Linked DNA regions of Elephas maximus indicus. The protein of the gene in region 1 interacts with the protein of each later gene in a pairwise test. Links are inferred from orthologs where the notes say so. Each region holds a gene or a part of one and is shown on either strand. Other genes may lie near its edges.

Region 1 (8,008 bases):
CTCCCCAAAAATCTGCCACTGAAAACCCTATGCAGCACGATTCTACTCTGACACACATGGGGTCCCCTTCTGTCGCAATGGACTTGACAGCATGTGGAGAAAAAAAAAAAAAAAAGGGCAAAGAAGTGCTATAAACCCTAGGGTGAAACATAACAGGCAAAGTGCTTGTTCTCCTAACTTTACACTTTATTCAACTCAAATCGATGTATTAAATGTAAGTATATCCTGTTTATTGGGGAGTGCTCTATAAATTAATTTGGTCCCTAGGACCAAATGCTAATGCTGCCCTAAGAATCCTCATTTGAAACTTGAATCTGTGCATCAAATATCCGAGATGTGTCAAAGGACGCTCCACTTAGGTAAATACCAAGCACAAAGACTAAAGATACATGTTCAAGACCAAAATTACCGCAGGATTTAATTGTAACTAATTTGCAGCCAAAACCACCTCACTTATAGCATCTAAACCTAAGAAAAGCAGCTCTCTGCAATTCTACTGTATCCCATTAAGTCCTTGCCTTGGCCAAACTTCAGCAATCAAGCAAAAAACCCATCAAGGCAGCCACTTGCCTTCTCATACTACATTGTGACAAGCTATTCTGTAGGTGAACTATGACAGAGCTATGAAAGTTTTGTGTAGTGTTGCTTTTTGAAAAAAAGGTTATTTCTTCTACATCCCTCTGGAAGAAAAAAAAATATCTTGAAAACATAGGAATCATTCCAACCACAATATGGCTATTTATTTTAATACAATATTACACACACACTCTCTCTATATACACACACACATATATGTATTTTTTTTTAAGAAGGACAGAAAACAGGTTAAAATTCTGACTGTGCAAGACACACTGGACACATCTCCTTTTACTGATATTCCATACAGTTTCTAAAAGAAAAGGAAGAGTTTCACTTTTGTTTCTTCTGAAGTCTGAAGTCCACTTCCCAGTTACCAGCTTGGTGGATTTAAATCTGTCAAGTTATTTGAGGTAGATGGTTTAACATATTTGCAGTCATATAAATAGTTTTACTCTAGGATAACAAAGCAGTAGCATGTAAACACGGAAAGCAAACAACAAAACAAAATTATATTACACTGCTCAAGAAAAAAAATTCCCCAATATCAATGAAAAGATTTAAAACACACACACACACACACACACACACACACACACCCCAGACACAAAATGGTAATATTCCGGAATAACAACTACTTCCTTTGTATAAGGAGGGGGTTCACTAAACTAAGAAATTTGACTTGACTGCCAAGACCACTGTCAGTGATCTGATTCTTGATTCTACAAATTTATTCTGCGTTTTCTGATTCTGTGTACTTCCAGCAAAGTCAAGGGAGAAAAGAACAAATTCCTTGCCATTGTTCAAACTTAAGAGGTATGAAAAATATGAACTACTCTTTCCACTTTAAAATAACAGGATTTAATATTCAACACTGAAGACAACTATAGACAAAACGATACCAAGCCTGTTAAAGATTGCTTCGCACTCACAGGGCCTCAGGATCCTGTCCTAAGTACTAACATTCATGACATACACGGTGTCAAAAACTAAAGTTTAAGGTCTTCAAAACAGAAGAGAGAAGGTTTAGGAGGTTACTGTTTTAAACTCCTACTATTAAATCTTGAATTATTTCACTGTAAATAAATTGCAGTCTGCAATAAATCTTCTAAATTTCCCAGTAACAGCTAACATACAAAAGTTCCAAAAACAACTTACCCAAAGTTCCTAAAATAACAATGCACTATCCTTGCTTTCTGAAATTCTTTAGCATCTTCAATTACCTCAAGCACTATCATAAAATCCTAAAAATAATCTCAAAGCAAAAGCTTAATTTACACAAAGGCTGTGTTAGGGACGGAGGCCTTATGCTCAAGTTAAACAATCACAGGTAGGCGTTAACTACTACTCTAAAACTACAACAGGGTGGGGCACTCATTACTCACCCCGACAAACCAAACACAGCTTTGCTGATGGCTCACAGTAAACCTCAATGACCCCAAAATTCCAACACGACTAAAGCAACGTTTCCCTTTGGCCCAAAGTGCTTTTCACACAAACGACGGGAAAAAAAAAAACGTAAGTCACGGTCAACTGCTCTTCAGAATATGGTGCAAGCCATGATGGTGCATTTAAGATTCTGAAAGCAAAATCTACAGTATTTAGAGAGCCTCTCACTCTCCACTATGACAGATTTGAAGGTTCCCAAACAGGAAAAAAAAAATTTTTTTTTTCAGCGAGCGACCATGAGAATGTGTGATTGATGCAGGAGTTAACGGGTGAAGAGTAGAACAAGGTCAAACTTAGGGGACAAAAGATTCCTGGAATAAACATGGTCAAAAGGTTTCCTTACTTCAGGGATAATTTCTACAACCAGAAAAGGAAAAAGAAAAAGGAACCCACCAAATCCCCTACTTCTACATAGAGTCCACCTGGCAATGTACCTGTCCCTCAAGGCAGGCAACTGGATTTTGGTGGAGACTCGTTGCAAAATAGCAGGCCTGGAACGCTCCTACCTTCGAAATACAAACTGAGTTCAGGAGAAATGACAACTGGCTATTCTTAAAAAGAAAGACAAAACTTTAATTAGGAAGGCGTAAAGAAGAGGAGTGTAGGAATGTGAGGGCTCTCCACACCCTGCACCGTCAGTGCTAGGAAAATAACCGGCAGAAAGACGGGGACGGAAAGACGCTAAGGACACCCTGCTCCCCACAGGCGACCCCGCGCTGGGCGCGACGCCCCCAGGGCAAAGCGTCGGAGCGGTGGGTGGCAGGGGAGGCAGCCGGGGCCGCGGAGGCGAGGCCGGCACGTCGGAAGCGGCTCGCGGGCTCGCCTTACCTTCTGCGCCGCGCTCTGCTGCTGCAGCACATTCTGCTCCACGGTCATGGCCCCCGCGGCGGCGGCGGCGACACAGGCGGCAGCGTCCGGTTCCCGGGGACTCCGCCGGCCCAGGCGGCCGCGCTCCGCCGAGCTCCAGGGAGCGGCGCGGACGGCCGGGGAAGACAGCGCCCCCGCCAGCCAGGCGCGAAGGCGATGGCGGCCGGCGTGCGCGGGCACCGCGGGCAGGCGGCGAGGCGCGGGCTGCGAGGGCCACGGCGGCGGCCCCACCTCTCGGCTCGGCCCGCCTCAGCGCGGCTCGGCCGCGGCGGCCCGGGCCATGAGCGGGCGGCGGACGCTGGGGCGCAAGAGGGCGCGAGCTAGCCGGGACGCGTCACGCGCTCGCGCGCTCCTGCTCTGGCTGATAAGGGGTCACTGCTAGGAAGGGAGCGAGGGACGGAGGGAGCGGCCGGCCGGAATGGCGCTGTTCTCCTCCCTCCGCGACTCCTCCTCCCCTCCCCTCCCCCAACCGCCGTCACCGCCCCCGCCCGGCGGCTCCTCCCCTGCCGAGCCCCGCCCGCCGGCCGCCCTAACCCTACATTGTGACCCGTAGGGCGGAGGGGAGGGGCGGGGCCAGCACGGAGGCCCGCCCCCAATCCTCGCCCCGCCCCACCGCGCCCCGCCCCGCGTGAGCCTTGCGCTCCCCGAGCTGGGCGAGGGCGCGCCCAGGGGGCGGGGCTGCTGGGGTGCCGCCCCTGCGGCAGGTTGCGCGGCTCCAGCCCTTGGCTCCGAGAATCTCGGAGCCGAAGCCCGACGGCCGCGTTCCTCCCTGTGCCCACGACTTGTCAGATCGCCCGCTTTCCCATGCCTCCAAAACAAATATTTCCCTCCAGGCCCTGGTACGTCCCAAAACCGCGTTGGGTCCCTAGCCCCAGCTTCTTTCCATGTAACCTGTCCCGCCCCTCTCCTTTCTAGGAATTTGAGAAGCAACAAACTTGCTCAAAGGGAAAAGCCAAGTGTGATTTAAGCAAAGGACTGTCAGAGGTCCTTGCGTTGAAATGTACTTGACTAATCATTACATAAATGAATATTGACCTTTTCCATCTACTTCATTCATTCAAATACATCAGTCTCTACTAGGTTCTAGAAAAATAGGATTTATTCCCCGGAGATTTAGGGTTTCAAGGCTATAAATCTTTAGGGAAGCAGACTGCCACATCTTTCTCCCGCAGAGCTCCTGGTGGGTCTGAGCCGACCTTTTGGTTACCGCTGTAGCATCAGGGCTTCTGTTAATGGAAATGACATATGGCCTACACTGCAAACAACATTATAAAGGAGGATCACTATCTAGACGATACATAATTCTAATATTCCAGTTAATAATATTAAGCAAACAATGAACTACCATAAGTGAAATACTTGACTATATATGGAATTGAAAGGAAAATATAACGTTGAGAAAGCAATCTTTAGCTGGAAAAACATCTTGAGTTTCATGGGCTACACTGGGGACTGGCAGGGTGAGGGGTGAGCTCATATTGTCTCAAATACGGTACACACCTCTGCAAATCCAGGTAGAACTTTTAATCCTATGACAAAAGCAAGTTTAGTAAATGATAACTGAAATAGTATCTGGTTTTATTTAATAAGCATGGATCATAGTAACTCTAAAATAAAGCTTTGTACAATCCTGTACGCTTTACGACCCTCTTTGGTCTGCCCTTTACATACCTTCAACCACCTTTTGTGATCATTCCCTTGAATCTTCATATTTATTTGCTCATTTGATTTTGAGAAATTGCAAATTTCATTTTATTGATGGCCTACCTATTTGTAAGAACTTTTTGAAAAGTCATGAATGGTTGGAAACTCAGAATATTAGGAATAACGCAACAGTTCTCATCAAGTGCAAAAATCTTTTTGGGAGAACACTGAGGCCCCAAAAGGGTGACGTGTCAAGCATAGCATGCAAGAGCCCATTTTTCCTCACTTACAGCCCAAAGATCTTTCCAACATGCTAATCTCATGTATCTCTGCATTAGAGATGTGTATTTTTTTAAATCTGTCAGGTTCATAACATTTAAACTTAAGAAAGTTAAATTTAGCATAAAAATTTAGGACCATGGTTAAAAAAGTGACAGACATTAAAGTTTAGCTTCAAGAATTTGGCAATACAGTGTTCCTCTGAGTTAAAATTTTTAGCTCTACAAATATACATATACATTTTTTTAAACTAGGGCCTCATACTGCTAGTACAGGTAAAAAAGATAAATCTCTTCATGAAAAATATTTTTTAAAAAGTTGCTGTCAGATCAATTCCAACTCATGTGTCAGTATAGAACTGATTTCCGTAGGGTTATTAATAGCTAATTTTTCAGAATAGATCACAAGGCCTTTCTTCTAGGTGCCTACAGATGGACTTGAACCTGTAACATTTTGGTTAGCAGCCACCTAAAACCCACTCCCGTAGAGTCGGTTCTGACTCATAGTGACCTCACAGGGTTTCCAAGGCTGTAAATCTTTACGGAAGCAGACTGCCACATCTTTCTCCCACAGAGCCACTAGTGGTTTCAAACCACTGACCTTACAGTTAGGAGTCAGACACTTTAACCCCTGCACCCCCAGGTCTCCTTAGCTCCCGCCTGGCACTCCAGAACTCTTCATAGGGTAGACAGATTTACCTACTTGGATCTTTGATTTCCAGTTCATTTCTGATAATTTCCTATAATTTACTTACTTTTTCTTGCTGTAATTTTCTAGAACTTTGAGGAGAAACTTTCAAGTTTCCTTACTTGTATTTCTTTTTAGAAAGCTTACAATTGGAATGAATTAAATATTGTTGTTGTTGTCTTATGCCATTGAGTCAATTCCGATTCATGGCAACCCAAGTGTTACAGAGCAAAATTTCTCCATAGGGCTTTCTTGGCTATAATCTTTTACAGAAGCATATTGCCAGGCCTTTTCTTCCACGGTACTGCTGGGTGGGTTCTAATCACCAACCTTTTGGTTAACACACAAGTGCAAAAGTACAAGATGGAAATTTGAGAATTTAAGATAAGTTTGCACATAAAACCCATTGAGAGGACTTCCTAATTCTTTTTCAAAATCTGTCCCTATGCCAGTTTTCTTGCTCAGGACTCAGATTTAATACATATGGTTGCAGGAGTTATATACCCTGAGGATACTATTTCATAACTCTTTTTGGTATACTGTTGCATTACTCTGGAACGTGGACATTCAGATAAAAACATGAAGTGATAGATTTCATATAAAATGAATTTCTTTGTTTTTTAATCATAGGTCTAAAAGTAAACAGATTTATTTTGCATCAAAATGCTGTTTCTAACAATTTTCAGTGTTGTGTTTTGTATGTGAACTAAAGAAATTAGTACTCCTCCATCTTGAGTATTCCTTTCTTTCTGTTGACAAAGGGTTTGAGAATCCATTCCCGGAGACCAAAAGTCTTCTGTTACCAAAACACATTTGTAAGCCGTTAGTAAAAGAGCAGCATTCAATTCATAGGGTAGATGTGAACAATTTTCATGACAAAAGAATAGTTGTTAAATGTACTTGGATAAAAATCAGAACTATCTTCCTCCTTTAGGTATACAGACAGTCCCCAGTTAAAAACATCTGACTTACAGAAAGCTTGTACTAAAGAATATACTACCATAAAGCCAATTATATTAAAAATGTAAGTTAAATACAATGGTTTGTAATAACAAACGCAGGCACTATTTTGTGATGCTCGTGAAAGCATTGTAAGGTTTGGAAGTGTTTCTTAAGTGTTTCATATGCATAGAAAGGTGAGATATATGCTATATACTAAGACAAACGTTTGACTAACTGATGCTAAATAAAAACCGTATGTACCTCTTCCAACTCACCTGCAAATTCAGCTTACAGGCAGACTTAGGAAGGCATCTCATTCATAATGCCGGACTGATATCTTAGAAATAATTTTATTTTCCCCAATAAGGAAACAAAAAGCAATAATTCGAAGAAAAGGTTTCTATGATGTCTCAATGGTACTATTCAGTGATAGAGTGTTTATAGATTACAATCTGCATTAGGATCGTCTGCTTAATACATGTGCAATGAAATGCTTATTGAATTAACTGGGCAGCCATGAAGAAGAGAAAACAAAATTATTTATGCTGTTTACAGCACACACCCAACTCTACTTTCTCATTCCAAGTGGACAGCTTTGTGGTTCTGAACATGACAAAGTATGGCATTATTAGGATTTCCAACTCTCAATGGTGTCTCATACCCTGAGAGCCACCAGATATTGCTTCTTTGGTCATAGCCAATCTATTTTGCTTCATTGTGCATTTCAAACATTTGTCATGTCGAATCTTCCTTTTCCTGCCCTATACCCATGAGCACACAGATTATTAGTAAGAGATGTCTTAAAGAATAGTATCACAACATTCTCTATCAATACTGACACTTACAATTAAAATTGTTATGGAGGAAAGCATTCTGTGAATTGAACAAGGAACCTAGTCTATTCTGAACTCTTGCTCTGCAAGGTCTACTTAGAAAGCAAGGTTTATATAGAGAAATAGCCACACTTTATCAACTGAGAGCCAGCGCAAGTAGAAGTTTCTCGCCTGTTACCTCTTGCTTCCCTCACCTTGAACATGCCCAAATTCCTACTCTTATGGCGAAGATGGCTAAGAGGCCCCAGACACTTGCCCCCTCATTTCTTTCCTTTCTTCCATTTATACTGTACTCAAGAGTCAAACGCCTCCCCTTTTACAGTGATAGTCGCAGATTTCCCTGAAATCATCCTAATAACATCTGAGCAGAGGGAACAACATATTAAAAAATGACTAATGTCACTTCCCAAGGTTTGTCTCTCCTGTATTCAGAGGACATGATCACTACATATATACAAATTCCCAATAACCACAGGGCCTACTAACCCTGTGGCCTTGGGCAAGTCACTTAACCCTTTTGTATAAAAACCAAACCCAATAGTCCTTGCCTATATGCATTCTTTGCACTTCTACTGCTCTGCTCTGAATCACAGGAAGTACTACCCCTGCATATTCCCCTCTTTAGGTCAGCTGGCTTCAGAATGAATTTGGCCAGCAAGAGGCAGAGGTGAGGTATTGAAGTGTGGTGGAAAGGGAGAAGCTAGGTTATTTCTCCTTCTCCCTCTCATTTT
Region 2 (7,385 bases), on another chromosome or scaffold:
GTAAGTACTGTTGTTATCACCATCGAGGCAACTGAAATACGGGGAGGTTAAGTAACTTGCCCTAGATTATACAATGAAGTAGGGATTCTAGGTAGCACCATAATACAATATGAAAAGAATGGACTGTTTAATAAGTGATGTTGATAAAGATAGCTTACCATATTCATTTGCATCAGAGTCCCACACCAAAAAAAAAAAAATAAAAATGCTTGATATGGATCAAAGACCTAAATATGAAAGGCCGAGAGAATGGAGCAGTACGTTTTTATGGCTTTTGAGGAAAGAGGCACTTCTTAAATAAGACTTTGAAACTACAAATCATAAGGTTTGGGCTAAAGAATTTAACTTTACCCAAGAATTTGGTCTTTCTCTTTGGTTTTGCAGAGATAATCTCTAAAACCTTGTAATTTTCCCAGTAATCATGTCTTTGATAAGGGCTCCAGACCACACCTAACCTACGTTATGCTAATAAGGTGACTCCTGGATGATTCAACCAATCATGCCTTCCTAACGAAGTTCCTATAAATGTTCTAGACACAAGAGCTCCATGGGCTTCCCAGTTGGTAAAAGACATCAATGTACATGGGAGGGTAGTGCATCCCTTTCAGGGACATGGAAGCTTTGCAGTCAGAACTCTCTCAGGCCTTACCCAATGGGTCTCCTCATTTCTATCCTTTTTGATATAATAAAACTGACTGTAATTGTAAATATAGTGCTTTCTGTGAGTTCTGTGTCGTTCTAGTCAATTATCAAATCCAAGGGAGAAGTAGGATATAATAGGTTGAAAGTGAGGAGGGCCTCATGACGCCCAAGCTTGCAGCTGGTATCCTGAGGGGGAAATGGGGGAAAAAACTGAATTTGTAGCAAGCAGGTCAAAAGTGAGGGTGTTGCGGAACTCCCAGGCTTGCAGCTGGCATCTGAGGTCTTTGGCAGACTTGGCAGTGTGCTGGACTGTGCCCTTTGTCTTGCAATATCTGACCTTGTGAGGGTCAGAGGAAGAAGTGCTACACACGGAGCTGGTGTCAGAACAGAAGTGCAACAGAGGAGAATTGAATTGGAATTAATAAACAGATTGAATTGACTCTCTATAGCGTGGTGTCAGAGAAGGATTTGAATTTCCTAGCATAAGATAAAAATTAAAGGATTTGACTACATTAAAGATTATTTGCAACAAAAGAAATCACAAAGTTAACAGCCAGAAATCCAATTTGCAGAACATATTTGCCGTGCCAACAAGGATTTAATAATCTAGACCAGGGGTCAGCAAGTTTCTTCTGCAAATGGCCTGATACTTAAAATTTTGGGCAACTACTCAACTCTCCACTACTCATCTGTCAGTTTGTTGTACTGCGGTAGCTTTTGTGTTGCAGTGATGATATTGTCACCAGCATTTCAAATACCAGCAGAGTCACCCATGGTGGACAGAACTCATCAGAGCTTCCAGACTTAAGAAAGACTAGGAAGAAGGACCTGGCGATCTGCTTCTAAAATAATTGGCCAGTGAAAACCTTATGAAAAGTAGCAGAATATTGACTGATATAGCGCTCGAAGATGAGCCCCTCAGGCTGGAAGGCACACAAAATACTTCCGGGGAAGAGCTTCCTCTCAAAGTAGAATTGACCTTAATTATGAGGATGAAGTAAACCTTTTGGGACCTTCATTTGCTTATGTGGCACAACTCAAAATGAGAAGAAACAGCTGCAAATGTCCATTAATAATCTGAACGTGGAATGTACAAATTATGAATCTAGTAAAATTGGAAGTTATCAAAAATGAAATGGAACACAAAGAGTGATATCCTAGGCAGTAGTGAGTTGAAACGGACTGGTTTTGGCCATTTTGAATCAGACAATCATAGGTCTACTATGCGAAGAATGACAAATGGTGTCGCATTCAATAAACAATATTCTGTCGCAATCAATAATGTTTTCATTGGCTAATTTTCCGAAATAGATCTTCAGGACTTTCTTCCCACTAAGCTCCACTGAAACCAGTCTACCACAAGTAACCCTGCTAGTATTTGAAATACTGGTGGCATAACATCCAGCATCATAGCAATATGCACACCACCACAGTACAACAAAGTGACAGACAGGTGAGATATATTAAGTGTATTTTAAACTTATAGTACATCTCATTTCAAACTAGCCAGCGTAACCTTAGAAGAAACTCAATGGAAAGTCAGACTCCCAGCATCACTATCCATCAGGTGGCGTGAGCAGAAAGGCTGGAGCCATTCCTGAAGGCTTTTTTTTTTTTTTTTCCTGAATTTCCCAATCACCAAGTTCTATTAATTTTATCTCTTGCTAAAAGTCACTTCTTTCCATCACCACCTCCTGCGGCCATCTTTCTAGTCCAAACTACCATCATCTTTCAGTTGATACTTTGCAATCACCACCTAATTGGACAGCCTGAGTTAACACCAATGAGTAACATCATGATAAACAGAGAAAAGACTCAAGTTGTCAAGGATTTCATTCTACCTGGATCCACAATCAACAGCCAAGGAAGCAGCAGTCAAGCAATCAAACGACGCATTGCACTGGGTAAATCTGCTGCAAAGAACCTCTTTAAGGTGTTGAAAAGCAAAGATGTCACCTTGAAGACTAAGGTGTGCCTGACCCAAGCCATGGTATTTTCAACTGCATCATATGCATGTGAGAGCTGAACAACAAATAAGGAAGACAGAAGAACTGACGCCTTTGAACTGTGGTGTTCATGAAGAATACTGAATATACCATGGACTGCCAAAAAAGCGAACAAATCTGTTTTGGAAGAAGTACAACCAGAACGCTTCTTAGAAGCAAGGGTGGCGAGACTGCATCTTACATACTTCGGACATGTTGTCAGGAGGGATCAGTCCCTGGAGAAGGACATCACGCTTGGCAAAGTACAGGGTCACTGGAAAAGAGGAAGACCGCAATGAGGCGGATTGACACAGTGTCTGCAACAATGAGTTCAAGGGTAACAACGATTGTAAGGATGGCGCAGGACCAGGAAGTGTTTTGTTCTGTTGTGCATAGGGTCACTATGAGTCTGAATGACTCCACCATACCTAACAACTTAACACCCTAACTCAGAATGTATCAATTCTTCTTTAGCCTTCCTCATTGGCCAGCTTTCACATGCATATGAGGCACACCTAAGTCCTCAAACTGACATCTTTGCTTTTTAACACTTTAAAGAAGTCTTTTGCAGCAGATTTGCTCAACGCAATATATTTGATTTCTTCACTGCTGCTTCCATGGATGTTGATTGTGGATCCAAGTAAGATGAAATCTTGACAATTTCAATATTTTCTCCGTTTATCATGATGCTGCTTATCATTGCAGTTATGAGGATTTTTGCTTTATGTCCAGGTGTAATTCATACTGAAGGCTATAGTCTTTGATGTTCATCAGTAAGAGCTTCAAGTCCGCCTTCAGCAAGCAAGGTTGTGCCATACATGCAGGTTAAAAGTAAAGTATGTATGTCCCCTCTCTTTTGGCACAGGAATGAGTCACACTCCCAAATACTGAATTTCCTGAAAAACAGGTTAAAAAGTTAATACCACGGTGGGGGGAATGCTTATCAACATGCCAAAGGTCAACATACCATTTTATGTAAGTATACCTTTCTTTCAAACTGCAGTTCCTTGAGGCAAAAGGAGATGGGGTGGGGAATGACCATAAATTGCTGCATCACTATCTTAAGCATTTTTCCTAGGGTTTGTTGGCCACAGAAAAAAATTAAAACTCAAATAACACTCTTGGCGAGGTATACGCCTCGCGTATTCGCATCTCAGCCACATCCAATACAACATCGAATTAGGTGTGAATTCTCTAGTCAGTCCTGTGTTAATAACTATCTAAAGAGTAACTACTCAGAGCCATCCCTGTTAATTACTATTACTTTAGAATTGGAATAAACTTCCATCGCTTTCCTAATTTCTTTAAAAGGTCTTGGGGCAGCTCATACAAACTTCTCACTGAGTGGAAAGCAACTCCTCCTTCCAAGAAAACCACAACAAAAAAGGCAGTTTCGGGGAAAGGGAAGAGTAAGGAAAGCGAAAAACAAATCCCCAAGGAGAAAAGGGCTGTGGAAGCTGGAAAAAAAGGGAAAACTTTCACACTAAGACTTCCGAAATTCCTATGTCAGGGTAAGACTTTCAAGGGTTCATTTTTCACTGTAGGAAACAGTGAGGAAATTCAGCTCGGAAAGTTCACTCACTAAGAGAGAAAGTACGGCTGTTCAGCTTCACCAAACCTCACCACAAAGATGGCGGTGGGGCGAAGCCCCTTTTCTCGCCGCCAAGGACTCTCGCCTCACATTTCCCACAAACCCCTCCGTGCGGCCCGGCTCTCCGAAACCCGCCCGGCCGGTCTACCGCCACTGCGCACGCGCGAGGCTACGTCACGTGCGCTCCTGGGTCTCCGCGGAGCTGGCAGGAGTGGCCCTGCCAGCTTCCGCCGCCGCGTCGCTTCAGAGTTCGGACAGCGCGTTCGTGTTGCCTCCGTCACCGGGGGGCAGCCAGGCTGCACTGGGCCGATTGGGGAATCGCACAGCGACTAGACCGTGGGACTGCGTGGGGGCCAGTGACAGCGGGGAGCCGAGCGTCCCGGGCCCTGAGCGCGTCTCCTCCCGGGGGCCTCGCCCTCCTGCTCGCGGGGTCGGGGCTCCTGCTGCCGTTGCTGGCGCTGCTGCTGGCGGCGGCGGCGGCGGCCAGGATCATGTCGGGCCGCCGCTGCGCCGGCGGGGGCACGGCCTGCGCGGGCGCGGTGGTAGATGCAGTGGAGCCGGCCGCCCGCGAGCTGTTCGAGGCGTGCCGCAACGGGGACGTGGAGCGAGTCAAGAGGCTGGTGACGCCGGAGAAGGTGAACAGCCGCGACACGGCAGGCAGGAAGTCCACCCCGCTCCACTTCGCCGCAGGTAACCGGGGCAGCGCCGCCTCGCCTTGCTCCGGACGCCACCTGCGCCTCCTCCCCAAGCTCCGGGGCCCTCAGGCCCGGAGACCAAACACAGTGCTCCTCTGTCCCCAGCCTTTCCCCCCAGGACGCCGGTCTTGGAGATCTCGCTCTTATTGAGTGGGGATTGAGGGGATTGGTGGCTGGGGGGAGCGTGCCGCGCTCGCTGCAAGTTTTTTGTTGTTGTTGCTTTGGCTTTGTTTTGTTTTACAGTATCAACAATACATGTACCAACTTCCGGTCTTGCTATTCTAATAGGCCTGTACACACAAGCAAGAGTAGGAATGTAGTAAGCCTTGTGATTTGAAAAACTATTTCCAGAATCTACTGTTTTCTTGCAAGTTCCGCAGCCGAGTTGCAAGCTCTCTTACCATTCCTTGGGTTAAGGTTTTAATGTTGTTGGTTGCCATAGAGTGGATTTCGTCTTATGGTGACCCCATGTGTGCAGAATAGGACTGCTCCGTAGGGCTTTCAAGGCTGTGACCTTTCCGAAGCAGATTGCCAGGCCTGTCTTCCTGGAGACCCTGGGGGGTTCAAACCGCCAACCTTTTGGCTGGTAGTGGAGCACTTAACCTTTTGTGCTACCCGGGGACCAAGGTCTTAAAGGCCTCTGTAAAATTCAAGGAAGTTATTTAGTAGGACTGGCTTTCTTGGCAGTTGACATATAAGCGTTAATTGGTCACCACTCATTAGCAAGCCTCTGGAGAGAATATTAGTGAAAATAGGTAAGTTTAGGAGAACTGAGATCTGACTTAGACCAGTTGGCCTTGTTAAGTCTCTGCCATACACAAAAGTTGAGCTGGAAAGTAGGATGAGAGTAGAGATTGTGTGGGTAGGCTAGCTGGAATCTAGAATTTAGGTTGAGATTAACTTTGCTCCGTCCTGAGGTTCAGATTGTTTGAATTTCTTTTAACATTTATTAAGTTCACTTTACATAAACGTGTGTTAAATTTAATTGAAAATTTTAAAAGAACTAGACTTACTTACATAAAGGAGTTAAGGTTTTCACTTTGAGAAAGATTGTGACTGTCTCTAATTATCAAGTGAGCCATGCATGATTGAAAGCGAGAGTAGGTTCTCATACCTTTGATTATCCTGGTTTCTTATTTCGTGTATTACATGATAATTTTAAATAATTTTTTTAAAAAGTAGAGGGATACATTTTAAAGCATTCCCGATCTTTTGGGGCAGGGGTGATGAGCAAAGTTTTCCTTATTCATAGAGAGTGCTTTTACACATTCTACCGATCGGAGGCAGTCCCTGGGTGGCACAAATGGGTAAGCATTGGACTACTAGCGTAGGAACTACAAACTCAGAGGCGCGCTGGAAGACAGGCCTGGCGAACTGCTCCTGAAAGAGCACAGCCTTCAAAATCCTTTGAAGCAGTTCTATTCTGCACACATAGGGTTGCCATGAGTCTGAATCGACTGGAAGGCAACTAGCAACAACCAGTTGGAGATTTGTTTGCTTTAATCTGCAACCGTTGTAAAATATAAATAGTACCAGGAGGCATAAGGAGCCCTGGTGGTACAGTGGTTAAGGTGATTGACTGCTAACCGGAAGGTTGGTGGTTCAAAACCACCAGTGGCTCCTTGGGAGAAAGAAGTGGCAATCTGTGTCCATAGAGATTTGTAGCCTTGGAAACCCTATGGGGGTCACTGTGAGTGGGAATCGGCTCAAGGGCAGTGGGTACCAGGAGGTATGCTTCCTGATCAGTTTTACCTTTGTTGAGTTCCCACTGTGAAGAATCTTTGAGAGAAGGCGGCTTGGGGGACCACTGGTGGTGGACAGTGGAAGGGGAAGGAAGAAAGGGACTAAAGCCAGATCTCACTTATTTAGCCATTTTGCCTGAAATTTTGATGGTCATTGCTGCCTTCGTTCAGCTAATTTGGATTGCCCTGTTTGAACATGTAGTCAACATTTGAAAAACTGATTTGGCACAGTGTCATAACCAACTGATACCAAAGGGTAGTGTTACTTAGATTCTGTTCACTTGATCTGTGGATAAAAATAACCAAGGAAGATCTTAGTTGCTACCTTTCAAGAATTTGGTATATTAATGAGTTCATATCTGAGAATAGTAATATTTCAAGGTTTAAGGTTGAGGGATTGTTTTATCGACCTTGTTCCCTACCTCCAGCCCACCCCCAGTTCTGTCCCAACATTTCAAGGCACCTTTTACATAGATTTCTTGCTGTTTTTTCAAATTAAAACAGAAAAATTAATATTTTAAGAACCGATCCACCCTACAACTTACCCACATTATCAGGTACAGGTCTTAAGGTTAAGAATTTAAAGTATAAAAAAGGGAGTAATAAAAATTATTCAGAGATCTATATTTCAACTGGAAGCTTTAAAAGTCTACTTTTAAACCTAGGTGTCTAACAGACTTTAAAAAAAAAAAAAAGCTCTGTGAGATCATTCCAAGTGATTAATAAAAGA

The links.
Region 2: the proteins of USP25 (region 1) and TNKS2 interact in a two-hybrid assay, tested with the Homo sapiens proteins (2 studies listed by BioGRID and IntAct). The link is inferred for Elephas maximus indicus from reciprocal best matches to the Homo sapiens genes USP25 and TNKS2.

The regions. Positions count from the first base shown.
Region 1 is NC_064836.1:45,945,422-45,953,429, forward strand, and holds the start of USP25 (ubiquitin carboxyl-terminal hydrolase 25), read right to left. Parts: upstream 3,004-8,008; 5' UTR 2,902-3,003; coding exon 2,854-2,901; intron 1-2,853. UniProt on the Homo sapiens protein: Deubiquitinating enzyme that hydrolyzes ubiquitin moieties conjugated to substrates and thus, functions in various biological processes including inflammation and immune response.
Region 2 is NC_064834.1:43,095,330-43,102,714, forward strand, and holds the start of TNKS2 (poly [ADP-ribose] polymerase tankyrase-2), read left to right. Parts: upstream 1-4,384; 5' UTR 4,385-4,709; coding exon 4,710-4,908; intron 4,909-7,385. UniProt on the Homo sapiens protein: Poly-ADP-ribosyltransferase involved in various processes such as Wnt signaling pathway, telomere length and vesicle trafficking.